2 linked regions of the Struthio camelus genome follow. The protein of the gene in region 1 interacts with the protein of each later gene in a biochemical or structural test. Links are inferred from orthologs where the notes say so. Each region holds a gene or a part of one and is shown on either strand. Other genes may lie near its edges.

Region 1 (6,941 bases):
GCAGTTAATAATCTTTTGTGCTCCTCTTGGCATGCAGAAAACAAAAATACCAATCTGTTTACTAGTTGTAACTCCAAAATGTATAAGAAAGCCATTGTAAGCTTCCTGCAAAGTTAGTCAGAATGCTGGATGGGGGGAAAGGGAGGGGGAAACACTGGGAAAAACCCTGTAAGTTAGCTTTGTCATCAACTGACCAGTGATTTGGGCCTTGTTTTGTTAACTACCTGTGAAAGACTGAATAATGCCCTAATCGCCTTTTTTCCCTCCCGTACCTCCAACAGGAGGATGTTTTTAACTTCCCAACAGCATAAGATTACAGAGAGATTCTCATTTGTACTGAGGTCACTTTACACTGTCAAAGCAGTGGCCAACATTTAAATGAAAATCAGTCACAAGGGATTTTAGCTGTATGTCACCAGTTAAATCAAGCCCAGGTCGGTAGTGACTACGAGTTATTAGTATCTGATGCTCTTTATCAGTCTTAGGATGGTTCCCTGTGGATCAGAGCTCTCATATCTAAGTAATTTAAGTTTTTGTCACGTTCATCACCATGGTTCCTGAGTGACACAGAAGTTAAAATATGTCTTTATACAACATCTTCCATGTCTTACGTCTCTCTCTCTGTCTTCACCCCCACACAGAGGCTTGAGGTCTTTTTAAATAATGCTGGGAAAATCGTTTTACACACATAATATTTGCATTTTCTTTGGAGGATGAGAGGGTTCAGGGTCATTCCGAGGCTCTCGGAAAGTGAATGCCATAACCCGACAGCAGGGACCACGAAAGCGCTGTCTGGACTGCCCCTACACAAACAGCGTGACGATTGCAGTGATGATGGTTTTAGGAGAGGTAGCTTTAGTTCTAAATCAGCACAAAAAAAATGGAAAACCCTCCCACCCTCAGGAAAGAGTGACGCTCTAGGGCACCTACGTATCATTCCTGTTCTTTGCCTATATCTGATCACGCTGTTTCCAGGACTCATAGGGTCTTTCATAGCATGACATTTACTTTTCAAGAGAACTATTTACAGACCACAAAGTTAACAGTTAAAGTAGATATTTGTAACAGTACAGAGAATCTCTAGACCCTAACTGTACAATGAACTCATCCAAGTGACTCCTGAACTTGATATCATGATGGAGATAGATAGTCCAAACTGTCGCACATGTAAACTGACCTATTTTATAGCTTGGCTGGTTCCTCATACAGCTTTCAAACTGAAGATACTGCACTTCTGTTTGGACAGCTCTTCTTAGCAGTGGTTTTATTTCTGCTTGAGGCATGGAGACATTTTTTTCACCTGCTTTTTGTTATCTGCAATCATTTTACAGTAAGTATCACCTCTCCCCACAACATAACCCTTTATTCTGATCATGGAACTAATCATGTGCTTAAAACATATTTACATTCCTTGCAGAACCAAGGCTGTAATGTCACCTTGTCACCGTGTGAGGGAAAGACCCAGCATAAAGTGTAGGTAATAGCTGTGTATTTATAAAGGCTGAAAAGCAGTTGCTACCATTTCTATCTGGTCTGTCTAACTCAACAACTGTATTGCTACCTGGAACTACATACAACTAGGTTCTGTCACAAGAGGAACTGTTGGCAAAGCATGCCATAGCCTTTTGACCGCTTATTTGGGTTTAATTGGATTAGACATATATTTGAACACAGCACTCAAAGCAGTTGACAGTCTTTCCACAATTTCCTGGTCTGCTGGTTGGTTTCCTTTTTGATCTGACACATCCTGGTGAAGGTGGAAAATAATCTAGATATACACCAGTTTTTAATTAAATTTTGCTATGACAGGTTGTGTTTAAGCTAGCTTCTCTATAATCATTTGTTTTGCCTTTGCTGATGACATTTATTTATGTATGTAATCAGAACTGTAAGCATAATTTCATTTTTAGAGTTAAGAGAAGAACCTTTAAAATCATATTTTACTTACACAGTTTCAGAAAATTTAAACATTTATTCACCTCTACTGCTGTCTGCAATTTCTCAGAAAAATAATGTGGGTTTCCAAAGTGAAAAAAAAAGCACATTATGGAAAGGAAAGAGTATTATATACAAGGAAAAATAAAGCCATAACAAGTAATTTTAACTATCCCACATCGATACACAAAAACCAAGCCATATGATTTAATGTGTGATAAATAGAAGATGGATTTTTTTTTTTTCATTAGATTACGTTGGTCATCCAGGATAGCTTTCACTCCACCAAACATGCTGGGGCTGCATCTGAAACCCTGAAGCCTGCTGGGTAGGTCCATGCCAAAGGAGAGTCCTTAGGCTGCAGCTAGGCTAAGCCACTGCTCAGTTTAAACTGATAACTCTTTCCTTTTGACTTCTGCCGAAGCTTTGGGGGATGCTAATAAGTCGTAATCAGGAGGTTGTACAATATTTGTAACCAGCTACAGAAGACTGCAATTGTTTGGTCATGGTGATGGAAGCTGGTTTGCAGCAAGGAGTGACAGAAGGTGGGATGCAAGAAAAGAGCCTCTGGCAGTCCGACTTGCAGCTGGACTCGGGCAGTGGGGAGAAGCAAGACGGGGATCGCACACCCCGAAGGCAGAGAGAGAGACATGAAGCAGCACGGTCGGCAGTAGAAATGTCAACAGAAGTCTAGAGAGAGCAGCGGCAGAGCTGCGAGAAACGTTGAGAGAAGAAAGAGGGCAGAGCACAACCAGTGAGACCCTGACAGGAACTTGATCGGCACGTAACACCTTCTGGTTAAAGAAGAACACAAAATTAACAGCGACTTTTAAGAAAAGCATGAGTCAGGGGTAATGAGCTGATTTCACATTGGGGTCTTTCGACAGGGTAGGATGGGCATGAACATGGACACACTAGTGTGATGAGATATATGGAGATCTGTATGTGATTAATGCATTTTCAAAGGAACAGGAGAGACTATCTAAAACCATGCCAATAATAGTGAAAAATTAAGTAGCAAGTACAATTTTTTGCCTTAAAAAAACATGGAATGTAAGTATAGTGTTTACAGAATTGCAGAAAAAAATTCAGAAGCAAAGACTCTTGATGTTTTTGGTGAACCTAAAGAACATGGCAGGAAGAGGGAGCCTTGCAGGAAAACAGGAAAAATGGATATTGTTGCAAGCGACAATCATGGCATGATACAAACTATAACAAATTAAATCTTCACCTCCTGCTCAAAACCTCGAGTTTATTTACATTCATAGGGGAAACAAGTAATGGGAAAATATAATTGCATGTAAAAACCATATGCTAATTAGAGGTTGCAAAACTAAGCCCTGAAAAGTCAGAAAGCGTTAGAAATAAACTTGCCCTCCCTCCAGTAACCCAGCTCTCTGGCAGGATGTTAACCTTGCCCTGCGTGACATCAGGGGCTTGCGGCAGAGCCAAGGACAGAGCAGGGCCTGTTGGGCCTCAGATCAGCACCTTAAACGCAAGAGAAACCCCCTCTCCGCCCGCAGCTGACTGCTGCGCGGGGGGCAGCGTTGTCACAGGGAGCTGAAGAAAACAGAGCCCGGCTGCAAGGGCCGCAGGGAGCGCAGGCCTCGGCCCCAGGCTTCCGCCCCGCGTTTCCTCCGGGCCGTCCGTCAGCCAGCAGCGAGGCCGCCGGCCCGGCCCGGCGCTGACGGCCCTCGGCTCGCCCCGACAGCCCGGGCGCCGCCGAGCCTGGGCCTCAACGGGGCGCCCCGCGGACCCGGCCCGGCCCAGCCGGCCCCGTCCGAGGGCGGCCGGGTGCCATTTCCCGGGCCGCCGCCGCCACCTGACGCCTCTAATGGCGCCGGGCGGCCGCGCGGCTCCCGCAGAGCCGGCACGCCCACCACGTGACCCCGCCCCTCCCCCCGCGGCTGCGGCGGCGGCCGTTACCGCAGTGCCTGGGCCCCGCCCCTCCTCCTGCCCCGCCCCCCCGGGGCGCCTCCTGGCCCCGCCCCACCCCCGCGCGCGCGCGAGCTCCCCCTCCCTCCTCCCCTCCCCTCCCCTCCCCCCGGGCGCTGTGGGTGCGCGCGCGCGCCCGGCAGCGTCTCCTCACAGCGGCGGCGGCGCTGACGGGGGCTCGGAGCCGGCGGCCGGTGCTCCGGAGCGCGGCGGAGCCGGCGACGCCTCTTTTACTTCCCTCCACCCCCCCCTCCCCGCATCTCTTTCCTCGCCCCCCTCTTTCCTCCTCACCCCGCCTTCCTTCCCCCCGCCCCCCCCCCCCCCCCCCGCACGCAGTCACCGCGGTTCCCGGCACGGACAACATGGCGGCGGTGTCGGGGGCCGGGGCTGCGGGTGGCGCTGCCAACGCCGGGGGCCCGGAGATGGTGCGGGGCCAAGTGTTCGACGTGGGGCCGCGCTACACCAACCTCTCCTACATCGGCGAGGGGGCCTACGGCATGGTGTGGTGAGTGCCGGCCGCCGCGCCCCGCCGGGCCAGCGCCCTTGCCCTGCACAGCTCCCTCCCTGCCTGCCTCCCTCCCTGCCTGCCTGCCTTCCTCCCTCCGCCCCGCCGCCCTGCCCGGCCGCAGCCTCCCCGGGGGCTCGGCCGCGGGCTGCGTCCCGCCCTTGCGGGGGGCAGCGGCCCGTGCCTGGCCCTCGGGGGAGGGGAAGCTAGGCCTCCAGCATCCTTGCCTCTTTCCTCATCCCCGCTTTCCCCTTCGCGCTGCCGAGGTTGTCCCTCCGGCATCGCCCGTCCCCTCCCCGGCCGCCAACCCTCGGCTGCCGTCGCCTCTTCCCGCCCCCCCCCCCGCCAAAATTCCTGCACCGTGGGGTGCAGCTACGCGTCTCGTTTCCTTTCTGTCGTGTGCTCGTTATTTTTAATTTTTTTTTCCTCCTGCTTCTCAAGTTGCTTTTTCCCTTTCTTTTTTCTCTCCTTACAGTTATATTATAGACACTGAAAAAGGGGAGAAGGTCATAACATCATGCTAACAGCTCTGTTTTTTCCTTTGTGCCTGTGCTGCATGTTCCTAGGGTCATGGTTGATAAACAGAAAAAGTGAATCTGTGTATACGAATTGCTGTCCCTATCTGCCTTTTCTTTGGATGTGTTTGTTGACTGTTGCACAGCCTGCCAGATTATTGTCTAAATTAACATATATGAGAGATGAAAGTTCTCTTCAGCTCTTCCAGTTCTTGATTATTTTATATCATGAAGACTGGTGGTAAGCCTCACTAGAAAGCAGTAGTACACATTTGCTTTGGTTAGTATCACTCTTAAAAACCTAACCAGTGAACTATAAAATGCCTAAAATGTAAGCTACCTGGATTTAGAGTGTGAGATGGGTTTTCTTTTAGCAGCCTGCATGTGGTGGGCTGAGTCAAGATGATGCTCTGAGGTGGTATACCTAGTGACTGGGTTATAAAACTGACGTACTTTGTGACCTTAGTTACAATTCTTATTCTGTTTTTTACCATTAGCAAAACAGGATAAAGTGACTTAATTTGAATCCCTTGTTTCAAAAATAAAACTATTTTTTGTTATTTTATCAACTTTTTTCCAATGCTGCTTCTGTTTCATGTTCAGATTTGACCAGAAGTACTAAATGAAGTTTACAGGTTATGACTTGGTGAAAGCTATATTAGCGATAATGTCTCTCTCTGATGTTTAATCTTTTATAGTATAAACTAGTACACTTATCGGTGAAGGCTCTTCACAACATCCAAGTGTATGTTACAGATTTTACAGCTGTGATGGATTGTGCTGGCTTATTAAAATGAAGTCATCTTGTATTTCAGAATGGAAGCTTTCATTTAGGCCTGAATTTAGCTGGGAGATATGCCTGTATTTAAGTTTTGAATTGTGGCCTTCACTTTTTTAGCTGGGGGAAGAACCTTCAAAATGAAAATCAAAAATCCTGTTTATGGTGTAAAAATACCCCTGTTATCATTTTAGTGTTATAGATCACAGCAATATATCCACTCTAAAACTGACATTAATGTAGCTTATGGTACAAACCATATTTTACTGTGGTGCAAATCATCTGTGCTGGGACAACTAAGCCAGTGCACATAATCTCATTATTGACTGCGCTGGTTTACGCATGCAGTCTGATTTGGAATAGTACTTCCAAGATGTGTGTATAGTCCCGCTCATATCAATGGGATGTTAAAAATGGTAACACAGATGTTGTGTTAAAGCTAAAATGTTTCACCAATGATCAAAGATTACAAGAAGCAGTATGTTGGCAGTTGATGCCCTTTTTCGGCATCACTAGGTTGGTGAGCAGATATAGGGAAAATATGGCCCCTTCCCCCCCATCCAATGGTGTGTCATTAAGTTCTATTACTTAATATTTTATTAAGTTCTATCTCCAAGACTGGCTATGTAATGTTATTTTTTATTTAATAGCTCATTCTAGTGTTGTGGATTTTCTTATATTTTTTCGCTTTTTTTTTCTTTCTTTTTTTTTTTTTCTCTAGTATGATTGCTGTACACAGTTATTAACAAAAATAGAGACATACACATTTGGCTCCTGAGTTTTTTCCCTCTAAAGTTATTCATGTGAAATACTAGATTTGATATGTTGAGCTGTTAATTAATCATTGCTCTTCTGCCTTGGGTGTGAAATGACAGGGAACAAAGTCTCAGTTTGTATTGTATACTTGGTAAGTATTGGATTGCACATGTTCTAGCTAAATGCCATAGCAAATGTAATGTTTTGTAGTGCACAGCAGATGAGCTGCTACGATTAAATAAGATTACTTATTAATCAATGGAGGTATAGGTTATGTAGATTAATACTAAATGTTTCATGTCTTGCTTTGATTGTTAATGCAGTGAGGATCTGCAGAAGCCTCTCCCTTGTGAGGTGATTAGAGGGCAAGCTATGAGAGTAAAGATGGAGATATTCCCTGCAGCTGCAAAATCCATTTAAATCTGTACACTTTAATGAAGGAAAACAAAGCAAGCTCTGATGTTTTTGGTTTTTTAGACCCCCAGCTAATGCATGCAACTTCAGAGGATCTAGTTAT
Region 2 (7,161 bases), on another chromosome or scaffold:
CTTCCCAGAGCTGGAACACATCAGCTACGCTCACCTGAAGTCACTAGGGATTACAGAACATGAGCATCTGTGTGACACATCTGTGATGGGAAAACCAGCTTAATAGCTGAGATCTTATACATGTTGCTAGATCTGAACAGGGCCACAAATTGTTTTGAAATAATTATTCTGTCTTCTCATTTAAAGCATATATACATGTATGCACTAGTGTTAAAAACAGTAGATTCCAAATGTCAGTAAAAAGTAACTTTTGGTCACTGGTAACTTCATAACTGCATTCAGGTAATCACTAAGGTTAAATAAAGCTGCAGGCTGCATCAGGGTCAGAAAGAACATTTTGTACAGCAAATTTTTTAGTCTTTACTGTCCCTGGAGAATAAGATTTTTTTTTTTTTAAATAATTGAGATTGTTGGACAGAATGGGACTAGCCATTCATTATTTGTGCTACAAACTTCATGTTTCATAGGAATCACATCAATAATGTTTCTGGAAAAAAAAAAAAAAGTAAAAATAGGGAAAAAATCCAAACTTGAAAACCAATTTGGCTTATGATCAGAAACTCGCCAAAGTAATTAGAATAAAGGTGATAATTCATCTACTCAATGGTTTGTAGTGTGACAGCTACATATTTTTTAATTTAAAATAGTTTGAAGACGCACTATGTCCTGCCAATAAATTCTGCACACTTAATGTTTGAGCTAGTGACGTAGAAGTGTTGTAAAAAACATAATATCTGTTCCTTTGATTCTCTCCATCTCCTTTGAGAAGAAACTTACATTTACTTAGTAATAAGGACTTCACAATTTTTTTGTAACCATGTTTCTCTTCCATATACCTCCTACCTAGAACAACCCCTTGAGCTCCTCGGTAATAACTGGGAGTCAGCGTTCTAAAGCGCTCTTGTCCTGCTGTGTCCTACAGGGGAAAAACCAAAGGTGTTTAGAAAAAAAAAAGGTAATTTAAATTACATGACATAAGCTAAACAAAATTAGCATTTTTCTGACTAATAACGACATGTAACAGCATAAGACAACAGAATGAGGGAAGCAGCCAGAAAACATTAGCTGCAGCACAACAGAAAATGGATAAAAGGGGTAGAAAAGAGTGGAGAAGACTTCATTAAAAGATGAAGTGATAAGCACAGACATCTGTACCATGAGTAAGATGAGGAAAGTCAATGCGACTCAAGAAACATATGTCAGAGACTCTTGCTGCAAGCTAAGAAGCTGCATTTAGTCAGTTTAACAGTCAGCTGAACTGAAAGAGGTGAGGAATCAGGGTTTTCCCAGTGACAGACACTGCAAGAAAGGAGAAATATAGAGATTCTAAAACCTCCCATTGCTCATCCACAGCAGGAAAGGAGAGCCTAGTTAGTAAGAACTATTTCAAGGCTGCTGAGATGTCAAGCAGATGAGAAATTTAAAATCAGTAATTTTGTTCAATCAGTACTACAGCATGCCATATTCACTCTCATGAAGCTTCTAAATAGCTCCTAGAGTACAATGTGAAATTCAAAATTCCCCAGAATGAACAAGAAGGAGGCAAAGGAATTGCACAAAGATCATTTTTACAAAAAATTCTCTCTTTATTTAAATATATGTACAGCTTACAGTAGATAGAAGAAAGAAATGGTTTAGTCTTTTTGTTAAAAGCACAGAATTGGAAATACACATCCTTAATTCACATCATCCTTACTAAGCAGACTGTACTCTTAGGTACCCACACACACTAGAATAATAAAGTAGAAGCCTCTCTTTGACACTCTGTATATGCATTTAAGTTTTTATTTAACATAGGATTAAAAAAAATAGTGCAATTGCACTAATTAGCACTATCTCCTGAAGCTGTTACACACTACAGCAAAAGCGCCTTTTCCAGCTATTCAACTTGGGCAGGTTCTGGCCTTGCTTTTCATTTCATAGCAAGACGACACACCCCTGTGTGATTATTAGACCAAATACTTATTTATTACTCTCAACAGAGCTTCTGCTTTGCGTGCAGCTTGCTCAGAATACAAGCAATATGTATGCTAACTACAGCAACTGTGACTTTATCATTCTTGCTCTGCATTCTGTACTCAAAGTGTAAGACTGAAAATAACAAAATAATATAAGTCTTGGCATTTATATTGCCTGCATTAATACCAACCTAAGACACATTTGTGCCTTCTTTCCAATAATCCAATTACCGACTTCAGAATAGCATATTCTTTCTCAGATACCCATGACCACATGCATAAAACTCCTTCTGGGGCTCAGTCTCTTTCAGTCCCTTTGGGAGAATTGAAGGAAGTCTCCTAGTCCCATTCCTCCCCACAATCCTCTCTATAGTTTGAGTGCTTTCTCTGTACATTTTCCATTTTAGTGTGTTCTCCTCTCTCCAATCTGTTTTAATAAATATGCCATTTAAAGATAAAAGAAATACTGCAGGTATTTTAGAATAGGACTATATCCATAGTTGTAATGGAGGTACTTCTGCTACGGTGTAGAGTGAGGGCTTTAATACTATTTTAAATAATCCTGGATACACAGCTGCAGTCTGGTTTCCAATCTCCAGGTGCTATAACATAGTACCCGGAAATTGAGGGCAAATACTCAAGTCTTCTGGAAAATTTGGCCCTTCAATAGATCATAAAATACATTTCTGTTTCCTTCATTTTAACCAAAATATCTAGAGGGTTTCTGGTTTGGCACACATAAAATTGGCTACACAGCCTCTGAAGGAGATCACGCAACTCAGTTCTCAAAATCTCTCTCCTTTGTGCCTTTTTCCTCTGTTATTTCCTCAACATGTGCGTTGTCTGTCTTGGGAACGCTTCTGGGTCATACGAAAGACCTGCCCTTCTCGCAAGGCCACATCTCCTCAAGCCTAAGACCTCACAGAGGATTTCAGAAACCCAGATGCGTAACTGCAGGAACGAGCAGGATCTCTGCTAGAATTCAGGGAAGTCCTCAAACCACAACATTCACGAATTTTTTGAAAGAACTTTGTCCATTCCTGCTGTATAATCATGGAAGACACCCACCCTATGCATGTTCGAACCATAAGCATATGCAGAAGACTTGTTTAAAAAGGGAGAAAAAAAAACAAAAAACATCCCACGTTCTTGAGATTTCCTTTTCTGTCCAGAACAAAACCTACCCATATTGCAAGCTGTACTGCACGGCCATCTACCACCATTCTCTTCACTTTAAAATCGACACCTATGACTCGAGAACAAGGGAAAGAATATCACGACGAGAATGTCGAGGGACCACCCGGACACCCACCGCCCGCTCCCCTCACGGCACCCGCCCTCCCCCTCACGGCGCCCGCCGCCCGCCCGCTCCCCCTCACCCGGCCCACACCCGCCCGCTCCCCCTCACGGCGCCCGGCGCCCGCTCTCTCCCTCACGCAGCCCGCTCCCCCTCACCCGGCCCACACCCGCCCTCCCCCTCACGGCGCCCGGCGCGCGCCCTCCCCCTCACGGCGCCCGCCCTCCCCCTCACGGCGCCCGCCCTCCCCCTCACGGCGCCCGCGCTCCCCCTCACGCAGCCCGCTCCCCCTCACGGCGCCCGCCCTCCCGCTCGCGGCGCCCACGCCCGCCCGCTCCTCCGCACGCAGCCCGCTCCCGCCAAGCACTGGCCCGAGCCCAGCTCCCCGCTCCGCTGCTCTCTCGTCGGCGGAACCCAAGCAAGCAGCAGCCGCAACGCCCCTCGCTCGGGGCCGGGCGGCCGCACTCACCGATAGTGGGCTTCAGGCACGGCTCAAAGGAGCCGTCGGTGAACCTGAGCAGGAGGCTGCGGGGGAAGAGCGAGAAGTCAGCCCGGCGCCGGGCGCGCCCCGCCCGCGCGCCCCGCGCCGCCGCCGCACCTGGACTTCCCCACAGCGCTGTCTCCGACCAGGAGCAGCTTCAGGGTGAGGCCCGCCGAGTCCATGCCCCGCGGGGCGAGCGTGCAGCCCGCCGGCTCGGGCGGATCGGGGCAACCAGAAGCGCCGCGCGGCCGTGGGGAAACTGCCGCTTCCTGGCGCCGGCGGCGGAACCAGCTGACGCGACTCCGCCCGCCGGGAGGCGGCCGGTGCCCGGCGGGGCGGGGCGGGGCGGGGCGGGCCCGGCCCGAGCTGCGGCGCCGCGGGGCCCTGCGCCTGGCCGGCAGGGAGCGGGCCCGGCCATGTCCGACTATCGGATCTCGGTGGAGGAGCTGAACGACCTCCTGGCTAACGGCAGCGGCTGCTACAGCCTGCCGAGCGCGCACAGCAACGAGGTGGTGCCGCGCATCCACGTGGGGAACGCGTGAGTGCGCCGCGCCGGGCCGGGCCGGGCGGTGGGCGAGGCCGGCGGCGGGTGCGTGAGCGCAGAGCTCGGAGCAGGGGGGGGCGAGGCCGCGCAGGGCTGTCTGGGGAGCAGCCTCCTGTGCGGGCGTTTGAGCCGGAGGAGGCCCGGCAGCGGGCGGGACGCCGGGCCTGCTGGGCCTGCGCGGCCCTGGGCAGCCGCCGGGCCGGGCTGGGGGCGGCGGCCGCGGCCTGGCCGGCGGGGCGGGAGGCTTCTGTCGGCGGGCGGCACGGCACAGCGCAGCGCAGCGCAGAGCGCCGCTCCTCAGCGGCGCCTGCCAGAACGCTCGCTAGCCTTTTGTCCTGCTCAAAACAGAACTGAAATAAGGTCAGAACAAATTAACTTGCTCCCCAGACTAAGCATGAAACACATCTCAGTTGTGTTAGCACTGGGCTTTTTTATTTTTTCCTCCCCCTTAATATTTCCTGCGCCTGCTAATTAGCGGTGGTCAGCACTGTTGGTTATCCACACAGAAAGGGAGTAGAGACAAGATGCTGTGAGGTGTATGTACAGCATCATCTGCTGAAGTCACGCCGCAGCACTTCTGTAATAAACGTATGTTAGGAGAGTGGAAGAAGCTGGAGCAAGGGGGGTAAGCATAGCAGCAACAGGGATATTAGAGCTCAGTTTAACCATGTGCAAAACTACTTGAAGGAAGCAAGACTTGAACAGGAGTCATCTGCCCCTATCAGCGATTGGTCAAATGAATCTGTGCACTCTGTGCCCTGCAAAACATCATACTAATTAAATAGTCATGCACATGATGGGAGCCAGAGGGATACAAATATGGCTGTGATAAAAGCCGTTATGTTCAAGGTTCAGCACTACCCCTTTTCTTTCTCAGATGTATTTTGTTTGAACATAAAAAAACACTTTTTCACTCTAAGGGTGGTTGAACACTGGAACAGGCTGCCCAGAGAGGTTGTGGAGTCTCCGTTCTTGGAGATTTTCAAAATCCAACTGGACACAGTCCTGGGCAACCCACTCTATGTGACCCTGCTTGAGCAGGGGAGTTGGACCCGATGATCTCCAGAGGTCCCTGCCAACCCCAACTATTCTATTTGTTGCACCAAGATTATGACTTCAGTTATGCGTTCCATTCCTATTATCTCTTGCTGATTCAGTTTCCCCTTCTGCATCTCTGTACACGTTCTCTCTGAAATTTGGCACTGTCTATTTGCAATGTGTGTAGTGTAGTGGATCCTTGAGCTCATTTGGAGCTTGTAATTACTAATGAAATGCAAGTCAAACCCATGGGTTTTCGTTAACTTCTGTACCAAACCAAACTCGACCTTTGTCACTACTGGTTGATGCAGGTCATGCTCATCTAGAGATAGGACCAAAATTATTATCTCGATGCCCAAGCTGACTTTTGACAGCCACCTTCTCCTCGATATTTTTAGCAGTTACCTGGAAGAAATAAAATCAAAGCCTACAAGGTCTGTAAATAGGTGATTTGTGCAGTTAAAAATAATTTTGATGGTAGTTTAGTACTGCAAAGTGGTTTTCGTTGTTCAGTAATTGGTTTTAATTAAACAGTTTGGATTTTAGTACAGTCAGAAGCAAGGTTGTCTAGGAACAGAGAATGCATGTGTAAGTTGCAGGATGAAAACGATTTACTGGAAAGCTTTACCTCCGAGAAGGGCTTTTTATCCAATAACTGTCAATCGAAAAAATCTTAAGCGCTAATGAAGTTTGGGGCAAAAGAACAGCTTAGCTGATAGTTGGTCTAGGGGCACATTAAACAAAGTCTGATTCTGCTGTTAGCGCTTTTGAAAAGATGCTGAAAAATTTGGGAGAACATCTGGAGATAAAAAATAATTTTGTGGACTGAAAAAGCTGTTTCACAATGGCAAACTGACAACATACTTAATTTATCAAGACTTAGTAGGCAATAATATTGTTGAAGCATCCACAGAGAGTTAAGAAAATAAAGAGCTCTAGCTGAACAGATGACTATGTATTAAGATTCAGTCGCTGAAGGCTGAACTTTGATAGTCTCAAGCTGGAAATAAGACTAATCTTAAATAGGATTTTTGTCCTAGATGGAGGTGTGGTTTACTCTAGTGTAACTAGCACTTGGTATATTAGTTGTCATTCTGAAAGAATTTGAAACTGTGCAGGTCTGTTCACATGTCTTTTCCAGCTGTTTGTCCCTCTTTTGCGTTCTCCTCACGTTAAGTTAAGGCTAAAGACAGGAGATCTGTTTCTCCGACTCGACTCCTTCCACTACAAACTACTGAAGAAGTGAGAATCTTTTTCACACACGGCCTCCCAGCCTTTGGGCATATGTGGGTCCAAGAGTGTACAATGCATGTTACTACTCTGTGCAAGAAATAAGCCACAGCCATGATTGGGCCCTGTATTTGCAGTTCGTTAGCCTGTCTTGTTCTGCTCTAGCATTTGCACAGAGCTTGGAGTCTATCTTGAATTTGAAGCTGTCTTGGTACAGTATGTGTCTGACTAGCACTCACCTCCCCAAAGTGACTGAAGAGTGAGCAGCTGCATGGATATTAAATGAACAGTGACCCACTCCAGCAGATCATGCTCCACCTGGTACATCTGTCATTTGTTATAAATCACTTTAACTTTTTTATGCATTCAATTATTCTTTAGGTTATGTTGTAAAGCATGTTGCTCTTCCTGGTGGGAATGTGCGTTGAGTGAAAATAAGCAGTTTGACCTCTGGACAGCATAGCTTGAAATAAGAAAGACTAAGATCGGAAATTATTCCCTGTCTAAATACAGCTCCCTGTGTAGCAGCCGGCAGTGCAGTATATGGGGTTCAGTAATTTTCTCCAGTGACTGCAGTGATGTCACAAATTTAGCAGAGTGACACCCTCTTCCC

What was found.
Region 2: of the proteins of MAPK1 (region 1) and DUSP3, one has a biochemical effect on the other in vitro, tested with the Homo sapiens proteins (2 studies listed by BioGRID and IntAct). The link is inferred for Struthio camelus from reciprocal best matches to the Homo sapiens genes MAPK1 and DUSP3.

The regions. Positions count from the first base shown.
Region 1 is NC_090958.1:10,423,837-10,430,777, forward strand, and holds the start of MAPK1 (mitogen-activated protein kinase 1), read left to right. Parts: upstream 1-3,927; 5' UTR 3,928-4,232; coding exon 4,233-4,375; intron 4,376-6,941. UniProt on the Homo sapiens protein: Serine/threonine kinase which acts as an essential component of the MAP kinase signal transduction pathway. MAPK1/ERK2 and MAPK3/ERK1 are the 2 MAPKs which play an important role in the MAPK/ERK cascade.
Region 2 is NC_090966.1:8,197,393-8,204,553, reverse strand, and holds the start of DUSP3 (dual specificity protein phosphatase 3), read left to right. Parts: upstream 1-4,064; 5' UTR 4,065-4,152; coding exon 4,153-4,274; intron 4,275-7,161. Other genes in the region: ras-related protein Rab-18-B, read right to left, coding at 844-916, 3,143-3,210, 3,725-3,780, 3,854-3,918. UniProt on the Homo sapiens protein: Shows activity both for tyrosine-protein phosphate and serine-protein phosphate, but displays a strong preference toward phosphotyrosines. Specifically dephosphorylates and inactivates ERK1 and ERK2.